Linked DNA regions of Oryzias latipes. The protein of the gene in region 2 interacts with the protein of the main gene of each other region in a pairwise test. Links are inferred from orthologs where the notes say so. Each region holds a gene or a part of one and is shown on either strand. Other genes may lie near its edges.

What was found.
Region 1: the proteins of txndc5 (region 2) and gmppb interact in a two-hybrid assay, tested with the Homo sapiens proteins (2 studies listed by BioGRID and IntAct). The two-hybrid records come from large-scale screens. The link is inferred for Oryzias latipes from reciprocal best matches to the Homo sapiens genes TXNDC5 and GMPPB.

The regions. Positions count from the first base shown.
Region 1 is NC_019863.2:32,747,388-32,751,833, reverse strand, and holds the end of gmppb (mannose-1-phosphate guanyltransferase beta), read right to left. Parts: intron 4,264-4,446; coding exon 4,105-4,263; intron 4,014-4,104; coding exon 3,935-4,013; intron 2,344-3,934; coding exon 2,216-2,343; intron 2,138-2,215; coding exon 1,955-2,137; intron 1,882-1,954; coding exon 1,750-1,881; 3' UTR 544-1,749; downstream 1-543. UniProt on the Homo sapiens protein: Catalytic subunit of the GMPPA-GMPPB mannose-1-phosphate guanylyltransferase complex. Catalyzes the formation of GDP-mannose, an essential precursor of glycan moieties of glycoproteins and glycolipids. Can catalyze the reverse reaction in vitro.
Region 2 is NC_019878.2:12,663,725-12,668,155, reverse strand, and holds the start of txndc5 (thioredoxin domain-containing protein 5), read left to right. Parts: upstream 1-1,366; 5' UTR 1,367-1,431; coding exon 1,432-1,616; intron 1,617-2,941; coding exon 2,942-3,094; intron 3,095-3,572; coding exon 3,573-3,678; intron 3,679-3,751; coding exon 3,752-3,848; intron 3,849-4,376; coding exon 4,377-4,431. UniProt on the Homo sapiens protein: Protein disulfide isomerase of the endoplasmic reticulum lumen involved in the formation of disulfide bonds in proteins. Can reduce insulin disulfide bonds.

The DNA.
Region 1 (4,446 bases), on a different chromosome or scaffold from region 2:
TGCTGGATGCATTTCTATCGGTGGCCTGTAGATGGCAGCATCGTTCTGAACAGAATCCTTTCAGGTGGTTCGGAGAACCACTCTGCTTTGCTCCAGCAGGTAAATCACTTCCATCTCACTTGAGTTGTTTTTGTCTGCGTCTATAGCTACATTAGTCCGCCAAAGGCTGAGCTCATGTTTTTCTGGTGGAGATTTACAAACAGAAAATGCAACAGTGATAAGTACTAATCATTGTGTTGTCATGTTTTCCTGCTGGCTTATTCTTGCTGCTCTGCTCTTCATTTTTGCATAATAACAAATAAAATAAATAGCAAAACCCCAATTGTACATAAAAACTGAGTTTTAAGACTTTAATAAAAATAGAAATAAAAGTTAAATTGTAAAACTGCAATTCAGGCTCAGCCTAATGTGTTTGTGATGGTCTTTCTAGAAAACATGATTGAGTAAAAATGTGTAAAAGTAATGTAAATACTTGTAAACTAAACCTGAGACCATCCGGGAAACTTCAGGAAAAATCATTTACATAAAAAAGACAAGACTATAAACAGATGTCAGTAACTTCTTTAGAAAAAAAAACTTCATTTCATGAACAATCTTCATTCAGACAGGAAGTACATGGCTCTGAACAGCCTCATTCACAAAGTGCAGACCGTAGAAACCAGTTTTTAGTGTCGGGTGGGCCGCGCGCGTCCTTCACCTGAACGAAGAATGCAGAAAGTTTCAGCAGAGAAAATGATTCGATCACAGAATTCATGATGTCAGAGAGGAAGTCGGTCTGAGGAGCATCGGATCCAACATTTCCTTTCACATCATGCAGGATGATGGCTGGAGAGGACCGTCAGCCACCAAGATCTCACCTGGATGGAGGTCACACCTCCTTCCAGGCTTCCAGCTGGAACGTGCAGCTTTCACAGAAAACAGCCTGAAGCCCACAGAAAGAGACTCCAGAGGGAAATGGTTAGTTCCAGAGTAAACCAGAGTGTGCAGGTGATGGCAGAAGCCAGCCTGCATCTGCAGTGGTGAGTCTTTCAGTCAAACGGATTCCAGCTGGAGGAGGTTCAGTGCAGAGCTTCGTCTCTGAGGAGGAAACCGAGTCTCCAGAAGGAGCTGCAGCATTTAGGAGTCTGCCATTGATCAGTAACACACAATGACTGGATAAAACAACCCCCCCCAGACAAAACCTGGTTTTTCAGCAGGGGGGGGGGGTCCTTCTGAAGGCATTTCTTTTTAGGACTGAAGACAGATGCAGCCTAACAGACTACAGAACTGCTGCATCCTGTCGTCTGCTCAACCCAACATTTATTAAGCTCCGCCCCTGAACAGTGAAGGCGGATCCACATTCAGATATGCACACAAACAATCCCAGCATCCTCCACTCTGCGCGTCGGGCTCCTCCCGCCTCCACGGCCATGGAGGTTCTGAAGGTCATGGTCCAAACGCGCAGCTCCACTGAGGATCTACTCAATCTACACATGGAAAGTGACTGTCGTTTCCCCGTCTACCCCAAACACCCCCCCCCCCATTTATCCCTCCACCAAGTGCTCCAGCCCCCGTCCGTCAGTCTGGATCAGAACCTGGGGTCAGACGTTCAGCTAACAGTCCTGCTCTCTGAGCAGCTGAGCAGGGCCAGAACTTGTCCAAAACAATCAAACAGAAAAAAAAAGAGCTTTTAGTTCCTCCTCCACCCGCCCCCCCCCACTCTGAGGCACCCTTGGGGTGTCTGTCCGGCCCAAACAGAACCTCCTGGTGCTACATGATGATGCGCGGCTCTGGGACCGACTCATTGATGGACTTGTGGGGCAGGACGTTGGCGCCGTTCAGGTAAAGCTCGTCGTTCACAATGACGTCCTCCCCCAGCACCGTCACGTTCTCCATGCGCACCTGAGGACGCAGACCCCCCCACCGTGAGACTGCAGCTCAGCTTCCGGTTCCACGGCTCCGACTCTGTACTCACCCACTGACCCACGGAGGAGCTCCATCCCACAATGCAGCTCTCCAACCAGGAGTGCGATCGAACTCTGGATCCCTTCAGCACCGTGCAGCGCTTTATCCTCACGCCATCCTCCACCACCACGCCGGCGCCGATGGTGACGTTGGGCCCGATGGTGCAGTTCTGTCCGATCTGTGCGGAGGGGTCCTGCGGGGGAGGAGGGGAGCAGACCGCCATGGACGACAGGCACTCGTTTCCCGGGAAGCGACATGGAGCGGGACTCACCACCAAGACGTTGCCAAGGAAACCGGGTCCCGTGTGCAGCCTGTCGGGAGCGTGCTGCCTCAGCGACTGCAGGTACATGCACATCCCCGTCAGGAAGTCTTTGGGCTGACCGATGTCCATCCAGAAACCTGCGGAGGACGGCCGGTTACCATGGAAACAACCCCCAACACCATCACAGAAGTGTCTTCTACATGAGCAGCTGGGAGCAGAGCTGCTGCTCCTCCTCACTGAGGGGAGCCGGTTGAGGTGAACATCTCCCCGGCAGAACTGGAGGAGCTTTGGTGGGGGAGAAGGTGAGGACCTCTGTCCCTGAGACCCGGCCCAGGACAAGCAGGAGGAGGTGAAAGGAAGGGTGACAGCACAGGAACAAAAGCTGCACGGTCCAATCAGGAGTCCAGGTTCTTAGGATCTGGCTGCTTCTGGTCCCTGTTCCACTGAGGGTCCAGAGAAGCACCAACAGATCCGCCTGACATTTGGGCCGGAACACGAAGGACAGGGCAGGAAGTGACTGCTGGGCGCCGTTCTAAGGCTGTTGGTGCTTCTCTACAAACCACGACTACAGGAGAGTGGATGTGAGGAGAGAGCCAACACTTACGTCTGACGGAGGCGTGAGCTGCAGAGACCAGAGCAACGCCATCAAAATCTCTGGATAACATTTATGACACTCATCCTAAACAGAAACCATCTGAACATGTTTAATGACAGAAAAACCTTTCTTCTCTAGATCCACTCAAACTTTCATTAAAGCGGTTCTAGAGGAAGACATTCCTGTTCTCAGAGCAGGACCACGTCACTTCAAGAAAACACTCCTCCACGTGGTTTTACTGGCCAGGAGTCTGCTGAAAAACGGCCGAACCGATGGGAGTGACCACGACCGTCGCCTGTATCACAGAACCGGACTGAGCGAGTGTGACGTCATCAGCCCAAAACGGTTTACTTCCAGCTCCAACCAAATGAAGTCAATTCAGTCGCCACTCCCTCAGGAAGCACTGATTGGTCCCAGTTGGTCTGAGTCATGGTTTCTATGGCAACCACTCATCAATCAGGAGTGGGGCTGTTGGAAGGCCACGCCCCTTCCACTTGAAAGCAGGCCACACAAAACCTGTCAAACATTTGAAATGTTGGACGTGTGGCCAGCAGGCTCCTCCTACTTTTACTGAGGCATTTGATTGGTCAGTTTGTAACTTGAATAACTTTGACTACAGAAAATAAATCATGAAAATAAATGAGAATTATGAAGAAGATGTTAAAAACGGTTCTTCTGACCAATTGAATGAGAGAAGAGAGAAAAGTGTTTAGTGAGGAGCTTTACAGGCTTAAAACATCTAGAATATTAGTCAAAAATAAAGGAATGCTCATTTCTTCTATGGCGGTTATTTTAGAAACTTTAAGTGCGATAAACGATGGACCAGTGTAAGGAAGCTTCAGTTATTTTTCATTTTTTTATTATTTTATTTCTATTATTTAACTTTTTTTAGAGCAAAAGTAAAAACTAATAACTTCAGTTGGAACCACAGTAAAACCGCAGAATTTGGTCAAAGTCTGAGCAGAAAGTTCTTTAACCAGAGTCACTGACATGTCCACCAATCAGAAAAGTGTCACCTGAACCATCAGCTGACAGACAGGTGGACACCCTGAGGAACCATCATGACCTCCTGAAGCCAAAGCTTTAGCAGGTGTCGGTGAGCGGATAGCAACGGCGTGGTGCAGAACAGTTACCCTGCAGCTCCATGGCGTACAGCTGGCTCTCCTCCGCCATGACGGGGAATATTTCCTTCTCGATGGATGTCGGTCTCAGCTGCGCAGACGGAGAAAGCAGTCCCGGTTATTTGCAGACGGCACTGCATTTCCTGCTGCTATGGAAACCCACAAGACGCTGCCACCCGTACCTGGATCCTGCTGAGCATGCTGGGATTGAAGATGTACATGCCGGCGTTGATCTTATTGGAGACAAAGACCTGCGGTTTCTCCACGAAGCGATGGATCTTCCCGCTTTCCGCCTCAAACACCACCACGCCGTATTTGGACGGCTCCTCCACCCGCGTCACCTGAACACACGCAAGAGCGTCAGGAACTTTGGAGGATTGAAGCGGCGAGGAAACCTTTAGATCTGAAACATCTGAGGAGGAAGGGTTCCCCTTCCAAGAACTCAAATCTTTTCCATTCTCATCTCAACATCTTGAGTTCTGACAGGCCAAAGTCCTCATTTCCCAGGGTGCAGTTTGTCTAAC
Region 2 (4,431 bases):
GCTATCCATTTTATCCAACATAATACGTGAGATGAATTTCTTCTCATATTAAAGGATCGTTTGAGGTGATGATGAGGAGGCACATCTGACTCATTTCTAACCATTAGTGTAGAACATTTTCATAAGTAAAACTGTGTGCTCACACACTTTTTAGACCAGAGTTCATTTTAATGAAATACGACATTAACTTATATGTATGTTTTAAATCTATGTATGATCAGAACTACCAGGTAATTTTTTTGAGAGACAACCTTCAGTATTCAGGAAAATTACTTTTGTTGCCAAGGTGGTGCAGTCAGTCCTGATCTACAAACCCTTTTATAATTAACTTAACACACTTTGAATGAGAAATGTCACCGTTATATGAAATGCAAAGCTAAAAAAAAGCCAGACTCTTAATGTTCACATTGTTAATTACAGCACTTTTAGATACAACAGTTAGCAATCAACACGCCATTACAACTTCATACACAGATCTATTCATTTTTAGGCAGATATTTTTTAAATAAAGGTTTTTCCGATATAAAATTTGTCATTTTTTTAATACAATAAACTAAGGTTGACTTCAGCAAATCAGCATTTGCGGACTAAAGATGACTTCAGCCCTTTACCCCAAATGGTTAAAATTCCAAAACTTTTGCTTTGCTGCAGTACTGATTGGACTTTTTTTTTATGTGTTTGTTTGTTTGTTTGTTTGTTTGTTTGTTTGTTTGTTTGTTTGTTTGTTTGTTTGTTTAGAAGATCCTTGCCAAATTATTCAATTGAAAAACATTTTAAACATACTGTATAACAAAGACCCAATGAGTGTGATTATTTAAATCCTTTTACATAGATAAACATTGTTAAGTGTTTTTAAATGAATTTCTCTACAGCAGCAAAAGGAATGACATAAGCCTTCATTTAATTTCAAGTTTAGTTGGGGGGGGGGGGGGGTGATTATCTGTCAAAGATGAGAGAGGCCTTTTTTATTTTTATATGTACGCTTCCACTGTGAGAGAGCTTGACGAGAAGAGATAAACTGTTGGAGCAATTATTGTATTAGAAAATGGAAGAAATACCAGATCACTGACATTCTCCCTCTACCTGGGGCTCCATGCAAGATCCACCCTTTACTTTCTACAAAATAAAAATAAAAATTTCAAATAAAAGTCCTTTCGAAGATGGTCAACAATTTATCTACTCTAGTTTTTCCAAAATTCCTTAAACTCTTTAATCTACTTGCTTTTTAATTTCTCTTGACATTGCAAACAGGTCATGACGCTTCCGCACTTTAACACCGATCTACAAAATATCTGGACCGTGCGCTGCCTCATTCCCGTCTAATCCCGTCACCTGCAGAGTCTATATTCCTCTGCTCTCTGACAGCAGAGGGGCGTGGCCTGGTGAAGTCGGTCTTTTCGGAGGGAGACCATTCACCCTACGAGACTCACTATGTTTTCAGCACTGCAACGCGTCCCAAGGATGCATTTGTTTCTTTATTTTTCGTTACTGTTCGCGGGTGTGCTTTGCGATACCGACGCAGAAGAAGAGGAGCATGCTAAGCACACGTACACGGTGGAGATGTTTAACGAGGCGGTGCCCACTGCACCCCACTTTGTCATGTTTTACGCTCCCTGGTAAGTAATTTGATGCATACCAAGTGATAGAAAAGTAAGATAAATGAAAATAGTATCGATAAAGTTGACCGTTTTTATCAGCAAATCCTGTGTGGGGAAGCGATTTCGTTGGGATTAAAACTCGCCGGCTTTTAGCAACTAAACTAGTTAGCATGTAAGCTAGTTGGCTATTCCTAAACCTTAGTAGAAACCGGTGCCTTAGTTTAGCTTAGCTGCTAAGAAGCTAGCTAGGTAGCAGATTCTCTGCTTTAAACAAATTATGTGAACCTTTAAGAGTTGCACACAGCTTTCAAGCCCTGAAGTTAATTTTCAAACGTAATTGCTCATCCCAAATGCTTTAAATCGTACAGTTAACAATTCTATTTCGTCCTTAAATTGTAAAAATCTGTGCTTACGTGGCACGAACCGATTGACTGAACTTGCATCACTAATTAAAAGCCCCCCAGGACCACCTTTGACAGTTTAATACAAAAAAGGAGTATACCCTAAATTCATAAATTCTTTTTCTTCATAACATACCTGGAAAGTTGCCAAAAAATAGTACAGAACTTGTTTGGCAAACCTAGAATGTGCAAACCTGCAAAAGCTCAAACGCCAATTGGGCCAATATGCTAGTCTACTACTTTTGATTTTTATCAATTCTACGACGCATGCACATTTTCTTTTAGAAAGCATCCTCTGGGGATCTTAGTCTGCCTGCAGATTAGTAGTGCAAGAAGTAGTTTTGCATATTTAAATGGAACCTTATTATCCACAGAAAGTAGATTGTTTCACCACAAATGTGCCTAGCTTGCTCACTTGGTCAGTGAACGATATGGCCTCTACAAGATTTATTTGATTCAAATTTCAGAAAATCAGTTTAAAAGATTATATATTGACAACATATTGATATATTAACAAAAAAATATCCAAACTCATGTTTTTCCAGGTCCAAAGAAATGGATGCTAACATCTTCAGGCTGAAATGAACTGATTCGCCTGTCAACAGTGCATTACATGTCTTTATTTTTTTAATATCTCTAAAAGAAAACTGTTTTAAAGACCTCTAACAACCATAACCTCATCTGAAATTGCACTTCTCTTTTTATATATTTAATTTACTCCTTTTTACTCATAATTATTATTGTTTATATATTTGCATATTTGCACCCTAACTTCCTTTTGTTTTGCACACTCATGTCTTGTTGTGCCTCTTAGTCTTAAGCTGCTCTAATTTTGTTACAATTTACTATTGTGATGACTATACAATGATTGTAAAAAGGAAAGATTAATGTCTATAGAGGTCATCTGCTTGAAACTTTGCCCACGTCTGCTGCTTTCTGCAGGTGCGGCCATTGCCAGAGGTTACAGCCGACATGGAATGAACTGGCTGAGAAATACAACAGTATGGACGAGCCACCGGTGTATGTGGTAAAAGTAGATTGTGTTCAGGACACCAAGTTCTGCTCCAACGTCCACGGCGTGAGAGGCTATCCCACGTAAGTAACAGAACCCCAAATAACTTTCAAAATGTTCAACTTTTGATCAGAAGTCTTTGTTTCTTTGTTTTTTTTTTCGAAGTATGGTACTGGGATTTGGGGTTTGGCCACTACTGTTTATAGTTAACTAGAAAAAAGAATATTTATATTTGCTTGTTCACATTCTTCACATGGCTATAACTGAGTGTTTTTCATAAATGGCTCAATTAAGCTTCTTAATGTTAGAATTTTGCATGTTTTTTGCTGATTAACAAATTGTTGACCTGCAGAGCTCAGTTTTAGTTAAAATGTAAACCCCAGCTTTGTCTTGGATGTTTCTGACTTAACTTATAATCATAGAAAATGATTGACAGAATGACTGTTTTTACTACGTTATGCTTTTGAGTTCACAAGTCTGGGAGGATAATTAACTCCTTCGCTAAGGTTCGCATAGAGATGACAGTATTTTCATAGTAAATGTGTTTGTTTTACTCTACAGGCTTTTGTTGTTTAAGCCAGATCAGGAAGCAGTGAAATACCAGGGTCCCAGAGACCTGCAGTCGTTGGAAACATGGATGCTCAAGACGCTCCAGGCGGAACCTTCAGTGAGTGTCGATGCCGTTCTCTAAAGGATTGATGATTTGGGTCCGCTCATGCCTGCATGTGTTTGCCCTCCAGGAACCAGAAAGTGAACTGGAGCCACCGAAAGCCCCGGAGCCCAAACAGGGCATGTATGAGCTCACTGCTCTCAACTTTAAGGAGCACATATCCAAAGGTAGCTGTCTTTAGTGCTTCATCATATGGGCATTTTTAAGCTGGTGAAGTTAGCGGCTGGTCCCAGTTTAGGGCAGTTGCATCCTGCTATAACATACTTTCAGTATTGTTTTAGTTTGAATGTTCTTTCGTTGCCTTGATTTGCATAACTGGCATTTCAACACTATTGGGAACACTGAAGACCTTCCAGTCTCTCAACTTATGTTTTTGATTCATCAGACAGTTACAAACGCAAACAGTACATGAAATATCTTTCTTAAAATGTAGGCTTCTGAGGTTCTTTCAATTTATTTTATTTGAATGAGAAATAAAGTGTGTGTTCAAAACAGTGGTTATAGTTCCCAATTTAACATACTGGCTAACCCTGTGCTAGATCTGGTGTTCTGTTACAACTCTTCACGTAAATCAAATTTTCATATTTAAGTTTAAACACTCTGGTGCAATTCTAGACATTGTTTATATCCTTCATCAATTTATTTTCTACTTTTAATCATCTGCTGGGTTTTTCCATTTCCATTTTGTTTTCCAGGGGCTCATTTTGTGAAGTTCTTTGCACCCTGGTGTGGCCACTGCAAAGCCATGGC